2 linked regions of the Ovis aries genome follow. The protein of the gene in region 2 interacts with the protein of the main gene of each other region in a pairwise test. Links are inferred from orthologs where the notes say so. Each region holds a gene or a part of one and is shown on either strand. Other genes may lie near its edges.

Region 1 (7,158 bases), on a different chromosome or scaffold from region 2:
AAATCTTTATTTTTGTCCCTATACGTGAATGTCATAACTAACAGGTATATGATGCAACTTGGCTTCTAAAGGTTGCAAAAAAAAACAGAAGAGGTAAATTGTCATTCTTGGCATTTTCCCAATGACATTTGCATTTTCCTTTCTACTAGAAGCCCATTTTAGCAAAGAAATGTAGCCTTAGTCACTTGAAACTGCTCTTCCTGAGAAAACAATTGTAGATATAATAAGCAAAAAGAATAGAAAATGCCAACAGAAAGAAAGTAATCCACCTAGAGTCAGAATCATCATGCCAACTGATTCAGTCTTCCTGTGACATTCATAGTCAGGAAGGAAAACTTGGAAATTTTCTAAATTTTAAGGTATGTAAGATTTGCAAGCAGTCAAGGGTGGGTAAAAGGAATTAAATTGCAAACCCACTGGGGAGGGATCAAGTCGAGATTTCCTCAACTCTCAAGAACCATTTTACATGTTCAAATTGCCTCCTAGTTACTGAGTCGTTCTTCTACATAAAGCATAAGGTTGCTATGGAAGGATACAATAAGGTCATGATTGCTTTAAAATTATTCATAATGAAAACACATTTTGAGACTCGATTCTAAATGTTAAACTTAAATTTGAGCAATTTAATTGCCCGTTGAATAGAAATGAAATCCCACCGGCAGGCAGTTATTTCTTACAACCACTGTGTGTGAAATTGAAATCTTAAGATACCATTTCAAATATTCACTTTCTCTAAGGAAGTTCTCCCCAAAGAGTAGTGAAAGATAAGAAACTGACCCAAAGTCATCAGTAATCACTCTTTCTTTACACATTCGGGTCAAAACAGAAGCATATTATTAAAAGGAAACTTCAGGTCCCAAAGTTGGCCGTTTGGAGGTTACCTCCTGAAACCCAAGGATATATTTAATTTAACAACTAACTTAGGCTCCATGCAAAACTATATAGCAAGGAAGGAAGCAACTTATCAGATTTAATAAAAGCAAGCAGATGAAAACACATCACGCAGTCATCAAGATAGTGAACTGGAAAATGCATGTATGTTTTGTATACTAGCACAAGGAGGTGAAGTGAAAGGACACCATTCTGTTTGCTTTTTAAAAATGGGACAGGTTTTCAAATCTAGGTGGGAAATTGGGAAGTTCTTATTTTTAACCTCCATTTCACCTGTGAATTTAATTTCAAACTCTCTAAATTCTCCCAGCGATTTTTTTCTACAACACAGAAATGACCATTTATGAGTGCTTAATATACACCAAATGCTTTGCAGGCATGTAATCTCATATCCATTATTATCCTCAGTTCATTACAGGTCTACGGGCCACACTGCATGCGTTTACTCTTTTAATCCTTACAACAGTTGATGCAACAGGCTCTCATACCCCTACTGACAGATAAGGATCCTGGGAGTTTATAGATTCCTGCTCTTCCACTAGATTCACAGGTAGGAAAGCGTGGGTTGTTATGAAGGCAGCCTGACTCCACAGCCACTACCCAATACTGCCTCTTCAGATTAAGTGACTTTCCTAGATAGGCTCCACTAGCTGATAAGTAAGAGCCTAAATCAAATGCAGGCAGTCCAATGCCGAAGTCTGAGCGTTTCACCACCACACTGATTGGTTGTAAGCAGGTGAATTGCTCATCAAAGCCTATTTGTTTATTTTCATTTTTGATTGTAGAGTGGTGGGTTATATGTTTATCACATAATTTAGACTGACTTAAAAATACTAGACATTTTTCCTTTTTTAATTAAAAACAGGGACCTGAGCAGAAGTTCTTTTTAGATTGAAAGGCTTGAGTTGGACCCAAATCTGCTCTTAAGACTTCCTTTCACACACACACACACACACACACACACACACACACACACACACACACACACAGGAGACAGTGGAGGAATTAGGAAGAGATTTTCATTATACCCATAGGGACCTAAGCTTTGGACATGGACATAAGAAAAGGACAAGAGCATGCAGACAATGGTAAATTCTAGGTATGCATGTAAGAAGTTAGAATCAGCTTTAAACAAGGAAAACGAAGCCTACAGGGATGTACTTCTGACTTCACCTTCCAGGGTGATTTCATCCAGACCCTTCAGTGCCATCTTTAAAAAGGGAATACAGTGTCCATGACCATGATCTAGACTGCTCCTATAAAACCATGGATCCTGAGAATACTGGTAGTTTCTTCTTTACAAGACTTGTGGCACGCTCAAGTAGGCCTTTAGTAATAATTTCTGAATGCAATTATTTTCAGGGATCTCTGATGAGGCCCAAGGGACCTAAAGCTTTGCTCTATTGAAGAGAAGACTTTTAGCTTCCTCCTCTCCCGTTCTACATTCGCCTCTCTTCTTGGAGTTTGCCCTTGAGATTAGATGGGGAAGCCTGAACCAAACAAGTCTGCGTTCTCTCTCTTTTCCTGACCCAGGGCAAAATAGTCTCCAAGCATTGCTCTCCATCATTGGAGAGGCACTTTTCTCTGTGAAGAGTGCTATTGGCCCTTTACGGGGCCAGTTTAACTGTAGGGGTCCGATTTTTAAAGATGCTGAGGGAGGGAATTCTGCCGCCGGCAGATGGAGAGGAGACTCAGACCAGCTTGGTCCCTCCCAAACACCCTCCCTCGGGATTAGCTGCCCCTGGTGCTGCTGAGGCGTACCCAGCCCGTGCGGTCCCTGCTCGCACAGCTCCCGTCGTCTTTTTGGAGCGCGGACGCAGTCACAAGTCCTCAGCCAGCAGAGCCGCGCTGTCTTGGGGGCATCTCCGCGTTCCCTGGCCGCGGACCTGGGACCTCCAACCCCGGACGCGCGCGAAAGCCACTTGGAACGCGTACATCTCTGTATGTGTTTATTTCACATTTTCGTTTTTTCTTTCTTCCTTGAGCGGCCCGCTGGTCACTTTCAATCTTAGTTAACCAAAAGGGGAACGCCGAAGAGGGAAAGCCCTAAAGAATGCTTCACAGGCAACCCAGCCGCCTCTCCAAGGAGAGGTGGTCTCTGAGCGAGTCTCCCTTGTCCCCGACGCTGGCCCCTTTAAGAAGCCAACTCAGTCTTGCTGCGGCTGCCGCTGTTTGTATCGCTAATCCCCAGGAGCCCCGTTTAAAAAAAAAGGGAAGAAAAAAGATGGTGGTGGCGGGGGGGACCGGGCAGCTGTCTCTTTAAATGTGATTTCCTTCTATTGTATTTGAATCGTGATCAGGAAAAAGGAAATGAAACCAGAGACAGAGGGAAGCTGAGCGAAAATAGACCTTCCCGAGAGAGGAGGGAGCCGGGGGAGAGAGGCGCGGTCCCCTCCCCGCCCCCAGGCCGCCGCCCCCTCCCTGCCCTCGGCGGCGAGCTGCGCGCCGCGACCCCGGCTGAAGGTGCGAGGGGCGCGGGGCGGCCGGGCGGGCGCGCACCATCCCCGCGGGCGGCGCGGAGCCGGCGACAGCGCGCGAGCCGAGCCAGACCCGGCGGCGGCGGCGGCGGCGGCGGCGGCAGTGGCGGCGGGACCGGGATGGAAGGTTAAGTCCTGAGCAGCAGTAGCAGCTGCAGCCGCCCGGGGCCAGGCTGCGCGCCCCGGTCCCCTCCTCGGCCGCGGCGCGCCGGCAGCCCGGTGATTCGCTCTCTCTCTTTGGCGTTTGAAGGGAGCGCGGTGACTGTCCTTGAGCGCGGAGGGGCGAGCTCGCCGCCAGAGCGCCGGAGCAAGAAGAGGCGCAGGAGCGGCGGCGGCGGCGGCGGCGCCCGAGCACCCGAGGGGGTCCGAGCCCCGGCAGCCGGCCAGCCCCGCGCCACAAAGGGAGCGCCCCCGCCGCCTGGCACGCCACCTCCCTCCCCAATGTCCTCGGCCATCGAGAGGAAGAGCCTGGACCCATCTGAGTAAGTGTGACGCCCCTGCCACCGAGGGTCCACGGCCTCGCGACCCGGAGCGGCGGGGTGGGGCGGGCGGCCGGCGGGAAGGCTCCAGGTGCGCGCCCGCGGCGTGCCCTTGGTTCCCTCTGCCGTGCGCGGGGCTCCCGCATCCTCTTGGGTGACCCCGGGGACACTGGGAGAGGGGCTGGTGGCGGGCGGCAGGAATGCGGTCGGCCCGGCGCCTCAGCGGGCCCCTCGCGGCTCCCTGGGACGCTCCCTAAAGCCACTTCGGGCCAGAAAGTTTGCACAGGAGCATGCACAAGGGGAGGTCAGAGGCGCGCCGGTGCAGTCCCGAGAGCCTTCAGGACTCGATTCTGCTCCCTTTTCCCCTCTCGTTCCTTCTCTTTGTCCGTTTGGTCCTGGAAAGGGGGACACTACAAGTGGAGCCCCCCACCCCGGGTCCCCGACGGTCCCCTTCCGGGTCCGCAGGTGGAGCGGTTGCCCACGGCGCCGGGGACCCACGGGTGAGGAGGTGCGAGAGTTCACCTCGGAGCTCACCCAGGCCTCCAGAGACTTTAGAGCAGCCGAGCAACACGGGAGTTAGTCTGGATACGCGGACACGCCTCTCCCCTCGGAGTCCACCGATGGGTACCTTTGAACCTCCAAAGTTAGTGCACCATTTTGGATATAGGTGAATTTTTCCGGAGAGCGGAGTCTTAAACGGCTTTTGTCACAATCTCAAAGGGTTTAGGGTCTGGGAAACAGAGCTCTAAATGAACCGCATTTGTTTTCTGAGCCCATTGCTCAGTGTTAACATGGGGAGAGAGGGATGTTTAAGATGTCATTTTCCCGTCAGCGCAAATGCCCTTTTAAGATTCATTAGCTGTCTGGTTTTGAGAATTTTTATTCCTTTGAAGTCCCCATCTAAATCCTTTGAAGGGATTTGTTACACAGACCAAAGGAGCTGGTTAATGACTTGTCCATTTGTGCTTTTAAGAGGCATTTGTTTTGTTTTGTTTTCTTTTCCTGCTTTAAAAGAATTGTGCTTTCCTGATTGAAATACCTCCTCCTCCCAATTTCAGCCTCCTATGGTGTTTATATACCTGGGTTTTACCAGCATAAAAGCTCAGCGTGTTCTCATAAAACACAGGAAGTAACCATGATCCAGTGAGAATATAAACATCACTATTCAATCTTGAAGGTTCAGAAGCCAGATCTACAAGGAGTCAGGTTTGTTCTAACAAAAACCCAGCTTCCTTAAATTCTCAGGGAAAAAAATAACATTGCTTTTTTTTTTTTTTTTTAAGTATTTGTTTAGGAAAACTCTGGGAAGGGTGCTTTGCTCACTTTTTTTTTTTTTTTTTTTTTACAAACCTAGAATGATAACTTAGCCCTGAGTTTTCAGAGCCTGGGCAAGATGATAGTAATACAATAAGAGAGTGCATTGGATGAATTACCTTTGAAAGGTGCCTAATGCCTTTTCGATCAATAGAACTTAGTCACTAATCTTTTTATTAGAAGATAAATCTGGAGGTTTCAGTTCCCTGAAGGAAGGTTGCTCCTTTCAAAGTTTGTGCTTTTTCACAAAGAGACTGGAAAATTGAAACATGTTCACCTCATAACACAGCAGGCATCTGCGGAAGGATGCTCAGTAGGGTGCTCTTCTCTATCCTTTGCTTCACTATTTGCCCAGTGAAGATAGGCTTTAATTGGAGATGGACCAGCTAGCTGAGAAATTATTGCAGAACATTTTTCCCCCATATCTTTCTTGGAAACTGTTGAGAAATTATCCCAGAAATCCAGGCCAAAGTGTATTGAGGTGTAATGTTCAGATAGGCTCTAGGAGAATGTAAAATATTAATTAGAGGGTGAGTCCCACAGTTATTGGCTTGGAACCTCCACCAAAGATAATGTGATATTATCTTTAATTATAGAAAGATAGAGCCAATATCTTATTCAGTCCTTTCCTATCTCATATTAGGCCATCACAGACAGTAGCTTTTTGGCTTAACATTTCCTCCTGTGGACCACTACCCTACCAGATGCTTCAGTGAGTACATACTTGGGTCAGTGTGACTGAGGTCAGTCTGATCAGCAACTCCAAATTACACCCAGAAACTTGCCTAGGCCTATGCAAATGAAACATTTAGACAGAAAGACAGCCAGAATTCACACACACACAGATTTCCTCTACTGTGCCGTCGGTGGCCCCTCCTGCCTCCCTGTGAATAACAGGAGCAGTTCATTTCAATTCCAGGCAGTTTTGCACCAGCTAAGTGCAAATTCTCTTCTTTCACAGTTGGTTGGCAGGATCTGCGTCAGGGCATCCAGTGGTGTTGAGGTTCCATGAATGTTTCTGAAAGCCTAAATAAGGCCACGGGCTGTGAAAAGGGAAGAGAAGTGATTCTGAGGCACAGGGAAATGCTGGGTGTTTTATTTTTTCAGGAGGGAGGGTGGAAGTCCTTATACATAACCTGTGGAAACAAAGACAAGTCAGGCTTCAGTGGATGTTTAAAACTCTATTTAAAGTGTGGAGTTTTTAGGAGATAATTAGTTTGGGTTTTACAGTTCCCTGGGCTAAAAGGAGATCATCTCACAAAGGACCCTCATACCCATTCTGCAAAGTGTGGGCTCGGTTTCAATATGCTTGAATATTCACAGGGAAGCGTGCACTTTAAAGACAGTTCTCTGAAGGTGTCAGAGTGTGTTATCAACACTGATTCCCTGAGCCTCATCCTTCCTAAGTATAAAGGGCCTTAAATGCTGTGGGCACAGGCCAGTCAGGATGCAAGGTCACCAAGTAAGCCAGCATCAGCTGGAAATAGGAGACACAGATTTATATCCTCAAGGTACCAAGGGGGAAATTCCCTTTGGGAGTTTCACAGTTAGAAGCAAGTCCATTTTTCCAAACATAACAGATTTTTGATAAATAGATTTGTGTTTGAGTGAAGTTCAAGAGAGCATTTGTTAATTGCTACAGATCAACAGGTACTCAGTTTTTCCCATGTCCCATCTGGTGCAGGAATCATTTCTCGCACCCTATTATTTTTTTATCTTCTTCTGGCAAGTAGAGTTATTTCTTTTAAAATGTAAAACAAAAGGATTCAGATTCCAGTTAAGTGAACTGGGGACACTATATGATTTTGTAATGAAAGAACACATGTCACAGGCTCACTCTTAACAATTGCCTGGAGGAGATTTCAGTGTTTAATTGCCTTCCACACTCTCTCCCCATTCTCTTTCCTAAATCAACTTCATGCGAATCAGATTTGCTGCTGTAAAAGTGTTCATGTGCAAAAAGTTCTGTTTGATCTTTATAAATATAACAGTGGCTT
Region 2 (7,213 bases):
AAAAAATTCCTAGATTTCTACAACATTGAATTTTGTTTCATTCCACAGTGTATTTTCATTCACTTTATACTAAAGAGTTTCCCATTTCTGAGAACATCTCAGATACCTAGGAGATCTCTAAAGAAAAAAATCTTCGCTATATACACACCAATTTGAATTTTCCTTAGTCTACACAGTAGGTGGTATCAAAAATGCTAATCCTTTTTTGGGGGGTCAGTGTAGCTTTTAAAGACAGAGTCACAGTCTGCATTAAAAACAAAAAGATAGGATTTGCTTATTTTTTTAGCCACCCCATGCAGCAGCTTGCCACCCCAGGGACAGCGGAAGCTGGGAGTCCTAACCACCAAGAATTCCCCTGAAGTTAGTTCTTTAAATACTTCCTTAGCAGAACCTTTTTCCCTAGTCATTTGCAGAATTTCTAGCCTTTCTTCAAACATTAACCTCTAATAGGACAGGACAAGCTTTTACAATCTCTTTAATACTAAGAGCCATAAGTGAAGAGGCTAAGAAACCAAAAATTGCTTGACAGAAAATAAGTATCCCATCTCACCATTCTCATAAGTAATAGAACTGGAAATCATGTCTTTTATTAACTACGTATGACCCAAGTCTTTAGATTTTTCTTTTTTCTCTCAACAGTCAACTATTCTTTTCTGCTGGGACAGTCAGACATCAGCATCAGTGAGAAACATATTTACCCCTTTCCAGGGCCAGTCTTGATAAATCAAATTTGGGCTGATGTACGTTACAGTGGCACTAGGCAAACATTCAATTCAATGTCAAAAGCCACAAATAAGAAGTTCAGGAAGTACCCAACTGACTTAAGGAGAGGAAGGAGCAATCATTTCTTGAATGCCTGTATTTTGCCTCATCATCCCTATGCTATGAAGAAATTGGATTACAAATTTATGGTTGCCCCATGATAGAAGCTCATGGCCTAAGAAATCTTCCAGGATTAAAAGAAAACCCTCCAAGATATTTCCAGAGGAGCAGTAAAAATGCATAAAGACATTCCTATTCACAATGGTTGGATGAATTAAGATCTATCACTGAACTCTATCAATTTTAGAGGTGGAAGAGTACTTAGGAATGATGAGAAAAACGGAACTAAACAGGTTGACTTTCTCAGAGTTATAGAGGGGTGAATACTCATTTTCTGGCTTCCAATTCAACATCTTCCTCCTCCCATATAGCTGCTATTATTTTTCAAGCAACTCTTCCATTTTGAGTGAAATTTCATTTCAAGGGACAAAAAATTACTTAACTGACAACATGGGTATTTCTTACTTAATGCTAACAGTTGCACAAGTCTTTCTCAAGCTTTCTTCCCCTACCCTAGCACCCTGCTATGACTCACAGCACAGCACGACTGCTACAGCAGTCGCCTAAGTTTCTCTTCCAAGTGGTCTTGTATCCCTGGGGTACTCTTCCCTCTCGTTTCCCTCGTTTTTTTTTTTTTTTTTAAACCACTCCTTTCTTCCCACAACATACAAAATAACAGCTCTTTGAAATCATTTTAATAACCTGGCAGTGATTCAAAGTACGAAAATATTCAGATATCTCCCTTGGACGGGGATGCTACCATGACTGCTTCACAACAAGCATGATCGAAGGCAAAGATGAGACCGGACTCGAGGGGCAAGGGTCGGAGCAAGCTTCCAGGCTCACAGACTGAAGAGCCTGGCTGCAGAAAGTCTCTTGGGTGCTGGCAGGCAGCAGAAGACACATGAAATGTTAAGACATCCTCAGAGGACGGGGCGCGGCTGCTGGGTCATGAGCACCTTGAAGCGTTTCTTGATGGTGATTCGGTGTCGAGAGTATTTGTCGTCTGGGGAGAATCGAGCAGGGTGGGCCGAGCACGTCTGTTGTCCCATAGGATCAAGCTTCTGCTCGAGGAGGAAAGAACATAATCTCAGCACTGGAATGGTGGGAAAACGCAATCCCTGGCCTCAAAAGGGAGATGGAGGCTGGGATGGGGAGTTCAGTTCAGTCGCTCAGTCGTGTCCGACTTTTTGCGACCCCATGAACCGCAGTACGCCAGGCCTCCCTGTCCATCACCAACTGCCGGAGTTTACCCAAACCCATGTCCATGGAGTCGGTGATGAACCATCTCATCCTGTCTTCCCCTTCTCCTCCCGCCCTCAATCTTTCCCAGCATCAGGCTCTTTTCAAATGAGTCAGCTCTTCGCATCAGGTGGCCAACGCATTGGAGTTTGAGCTTCAACATCAGGGGCCGCGCAAAAACGGCAAACATGAAAACAGGAGACGCGACGGTAAGATCTAGAAGCCACGCATTTCTGCTTCCATTAATTAATACCACGCGCGGCTTCTGGAGTTTCTAGTCCCGCCCCCTCCCCCGCCCCCGCCCAAGCAGCTAGGCAACTCACTGTCTTCTCCCGACCGCTCCTTCCAATGACATGCATCGCTAAGCTGACATCCAGCCCGTTTACCCTTCTCACCTTCAGCGTGTAGACTCGCTCTCCTTGCTCGTTGAGGTAATACTGGAGAAACATGATCACACTAAAGCAGGACGTTCCAATTCTGTCCGCAGCTGCCTCTAACTGAAGGCCTCACGTGTTGGTCAATTTCCTTCCTGTACAGCCGGAAGTCTCGCTCTGAAAGCACGCCGGGAATTGTAGTCCAGTTTATCTAGACTTTTCTCCAGCCGGACAGAAGGAGGCGCACTAGCTCAGAACGTGACCAGTTGCAACCCAGTTGCAATCTTGTAGGAGTTGTACGACACGTGCAGTGTGCCCACTGTGGGCCTGGTACTGCTAGGGAGAGAGGGGAGTAGGGATGGATATAGATTAAACATAACTGAATACTATCCTGTTTTTATTTCAAGATGCACACCCATTTCAGAGGCAATGAGTTTCTAGTACCTGCAGAACTAAAGGCTCCAGGATCCAGAGCCTCCTTTACCTTAGGAAAGAAAGAAGATTTTCTTCCTTCCCCTATTTTACATCCGGTTCTCTCGCCCTGTTTCAAACATTGGCGGTAAAAATGCACGATGGGTATTCCATATTCTGCACAGCGAAAAGAGCGTGAAGTTATTTTACGAAACCGGTGAAGCATATTTTAGTGGTCGACCCAAGATTCAAACTCAGGTCTCTGCCACAAATTCAACTCTCTGTAGTGGTGAGTAGCTAATAATAGCGTGATAAGATGCGCCTCTTAGAGGTATGGCGAATTTTTAAAAGAACGTACAAATTCTCTTTATAGGATTCTGGTTTAAAGAAATGAAAATTGGAACCCAGATATCATTAACCGAGGTGACCATTGCGGTATGATTTATAATGGCGAAAAACGTTGGAAGATATATGCAGCTTTATAACCAGAAAAACCTTAAAGTTGGTTTTTTTTTTTTTAAGTATAGTTTGTGTTTGCTTGTAGTTGTATAAAATATCTCAGTGAGGATCCAGAATAAATCTGATTTCCTCCGGCATAAAGAGCTCAACTTGGTTCCAGAAGGAGTAGGACGGGGGGTGGACTTGCTGTGTACTCCATTTTAAATAGTCTGACTTTTGAACAGTCCTGATGTACTACCCATTTTAAAAATTAAAATTATTTAACAAAATTTAAAACCACAAAAATAATTTAACAAACAAACAAAAAAGACTTTTGGGTCTTGGAATTTTACTCTGAGTGGCAGTTTTTGATTAAGTGGGAAGCTTTTCAGCCCAGGGTATGGCTGAGCTGTTTGTGGACTGCAGAGGTGATGGTAATAGTCTATTTGGGAACTGCAAAACAGCTTTCTAAGGAAATGATATACATACAGCAAATCAGCACCCTTGATATTGTGAGACAACCCTAATTTGAAACATTCTGTTCACTTGATCCGTAAATATATAGACTATGTGCTTTGATTTTGGTTTAGAAAATACAGCAAACATTGAATTGTCAAGAGTTTGCCACAGTCTGCTGTTAATAGGAAGTCAGGTACAAAACTGGGTAGAATTGAAAGGCACAAAACTAGATATATTGGTGAAGAAGTGTATAGGGAACCAAGATGTGAAACTACGTGGTTGGGAATCTGAGAAATAATTGGCAAGTTGTCCTGAAGAGATACACAATTGTGTCGCCATACTCTGGTTTGGAGGGCATTCCTGGTTACTGCCTACATACCAGAGTCCTTTGTGGAATATCTCCCTAACTTCCCATTTCCCCCTCCCTTCCCCCCACTGTAGAATGATGCCTTGAGTTCTAGATTCTAGTTCTGTTTTGATCTGATGTTTACCCTCCCTTCCTTGGATCCCTGTGTTTCGACTGGAGTTTACTCTCTGGGTCCTGGACCTGCCTGTCTCATTCTGGAGGCTTCCAGACAGCCACAGTTAGTGCCCAAACCTGAGACGATGTCTTCAGATGGAGGTGAGCCTGCCGGTAGGGGAGGGTCCTCTGCCACCAGCTCCCTCTTTAGCGATTCAAAACTTGACACTTTACCTGGGGACGAGCTCTCAGGGCTGACCTAGAGGGATGTGAGAACACCAGACACCACCAGAGGCATCACACTGGGGGAGGAGATGGTGCTGTTAATACTAGGGGTTGGGGAAGGAAGGGGGCCTCCTAGGTGGCAGATCAGAGCACCTCTGAGGAAAGTGCTGAGTAGAGAGAAGGGATGGTAGTTAGCAACTTGCTTCTCTGGAAGAGGGTGACCTTCAGCATGTGTTTGTGTGGCAGGGGCAGGGATGTGTGTGGAATGGGGGACACAGGGGGGTTCCAGTGGAAGGCCCAAGTTCTGGTGTCTTCTTTAGGCAATTGGAGGCTGCTCTAGAATTTGCCCTGAGAGAACTGATCTAGGGCCGCTCTCAATTTTACTGGGTGTAGGGAGTGGAAGCCTTGTCTGGAAAACTGTTCAGTGGGGCCATCTGTTGCCAAGTCCGTCGAGAACTGTCCTCCTAGAAGCTAGATGAGGAGGTGCAGTAAGTGCCTCTGCTCAGAGCCTCCTGTCTCCTTCCAGCCCCAGCGAGGGCTTCTCTTTTCGTGCAGGGAGCAGTTTTCCTTGCTTTCCCAGGGTCAGGGGAGGTGGGTCACTCTAGCAGAGATGAGGACTGGGGCTTCCCTGAGACGCTCTGACTTTCTGCCTTTTGCGCAACTCAGGCCTCAGACCCATTTCACTGTGTTCCGTTCTTCAGGGAGTATTCCTGGTCCTCTGCTCTGTGCCTGAGGTGAAGAGTCTGCTCGTATTCCCTGTCTCCTTCAGTGGTCAGGAAGCAGCAGAAGCTGAACGTTGTTAATTTGCCAGCAGAATAATCTAAGAGGGGGAGGAGAGCAACCTGAAATTAGGCAGATGATCTGTTATTATTGAAAGTCCTAGGAGACACATGTCCTGATTAAGTACACGTTTTAATATATTTATCCTTGGTCTCTTTGACTAGAGTCCACATAGCCCCTGAACTGTGTCTCAGACTTCATGGTCAGGGCCTTTCAAAAGTGGACCCTAAATTTCTGGCATTAGGAGTTTCAAGCAGAAGGATCACAGATAAACATTATAGTATGTCTAGCATCTACTTGAAGCTCTGGAAACCTCCCTCCCCACACCGCCCTCCCTTTACCCACTTCCTGGCTCTTACCTCTAGTCATTCCTGGCTGCTAAGTAACAAAATTTCTGGGAACAAAACCTCTAACCCACACATCCCCTCCTGGGAAGAGTGCTTCTGTGAGTGGTGGCAGGGACCACAGAGAAGCTGGGAGCAGGGTCCAGGTGGCTTGAACGTGTTTGGAATGTACCTGTATGCTGGGTGGCATGTATTATGGAGTATGAGCTCGTGGGTCCAAAGTCATTGCAACTTCCCTAGTGCAGTCATTCTCAACAGGGAGTAAGGGACATCAGAAACACTTGGGGGACATTTGCAAATATACGTGTTCCCACTCACTCACTCACTGAGAATCAGTGCTCTGCTTCTTCAGGGACTAGAGTTGAACTCAGATGACCTAGCTCTTGGTCTCTTTTTCTGCTACTGTATCCCCTCTTTTTGTCTCTACAGCATCTCCATTGCCAGGATCGGACATGGCCATGAATCCTGGCACCGCCCTGTCTCCTTTCACTGCACTTACCTTCCCCCAACCTGCTCCTGGCCCACCAGACCCACCACCATGGGAGCCGCCCTCGCAGCCCCCTGTGCCTTCAGCATTCTCTCCAGGCAACCCTCTGGTCCTCTCTGCTTTCCCCAGCTCGTTGTTGGTGACCGGGGATGGAGGCCCTGGCCCCAGTGGAGCCGGAGCTGGCAAAGTCATTGTCAAAGTCAAGACAGAAGCGGGGTCAGCTGAGCCCTCTCAGACTCAGAACTTTATCCTAACTCAGACCGCCCTCAGTTGGATTGCCTCTGGCGCTCCCTGCGGGGGTCCTGAGAGTCCTGCCCCCGGGCTCCTGACAGCCTCTAATGTGAAGACCCTTCTGCCCACTAAGGCTGCTGGGCTGAACCAGGAGGGTGTCCCGTGCCTTCCTGCTCAGGCTCCACCACCAGCTGCCCAACTGGCCCCCATCGTACCCCCAGAAAAGGCTTGGCCAGGGCCGCAAGGGACAACCGGGGAAGGAGGTCCTACAGCCACCCGACCCAAGCCCTCATTGGGTGACCTCTTCTATACCTCCAAGGGTGTTTATGAGAACTTCCGGCGCTGGCAGCGCTACAAAGCCTTGGCACGAAAGCACTTATCCCAGAGTCCTGATGCAGAGGCCCTTTCCTGCTTTCTTATGTAAGTGGGGAGACCGAAGATTCATTATCCTAGAGGCTTTTATTTTTTTTTATTTTTTTATTTTTTTCATTATCCCAGAGGCTTTTAAATGAGGAGGGTTTGGGGAAGGACAAAGTGGTTAGGCTATTTAGGGATACTTGAGGGCAGGTCGTGAGGGTGATGAAGATGCTATGAGAATTAAAATAACAATGCAACCAATCTCTTTACCCATGTGCCAGAGGATAATAAGTCTCAGGTGTCTTCTTTCAAGTGATCTTCACAATCCTTCACATTCCAGCAGGCATTTTTCTGGTCATCCTCATTTATGGATGAGAAGGCTAATGCTCAGAGCAGTAGTTGGAACCCAGGTCTCTAATAAGGAGTGCCAGGGCCTTCTTGTGCTATTTTACTAGCTTTTTTTCTTTTTTTAAATTACTATTTATTTTGGCCCGTGCTGGGTCCTCATTGCTGCGAGAGCTGTCCTCTAGCTGTAGCTGGGGCCACTCTCCAGCTCTGGTGCTTAGGCCTCTCACTGCTGTGG

What was found. The genes of interacting proteins can lie anywhere in the genome.
Region 1: the proteins of NUTM1 (region 2) and LMO2 interact in binary tests that used the Homo sapiens proteins (3 or more experiments, as listed by UniProt). The two-hybrid records come from large-scale screens. The link is inferred for Ovis aries from reciprocal best matches to the Homo sapiens genes NUTM1 and LMO2.

The regions. Positions count from the first base shown.
Region 1 is NC_056068.1:63,295,650-63,302,807, reverse strand, and holds the start of LMO2 (rhombotin-2), read left to right. Parts: upstream 1-3,346; 5' UTR 3,347-3,488; coding exon 3,489-3,495; intron 3,496-3,618; coding exon 3,619-3,850; intron 3,851-7,158. UniProt on the Homo sapiens protein: Acts with TAL1/SCL to regulate red blood cell development. Also acts with LDB1 to maintain erythroid precursors in an immature state.
Region 2 is NC_056060.1:26,483,212-26,490,424, reverse strand, and holds the start of NUTM1 (NUT family member 1), read left to right. Parts: upstream 1-2,600; 5' UTR 2,601-3,138; intron 3,139-3,222; 5' UTR 3,223-3,284; intron 3,285-4,187; 5' UTR 4,188-4,229; coding exon 4,230-4,368; intron 4,369-5,984; coding exon 5,985-6,693; intron 6,694-7,213. Other genes in the region: NOP10 (H/ACA ribonucleoprotein complex subunit 3), read right to left, coding at 1,746-1,886, 2,460-2,513. UniProt on the Homo sapiens protein: Plays a role in the regulation of proliferation. Regulates TERT expression by modulating SP1 binding to TERT promoter binding sites.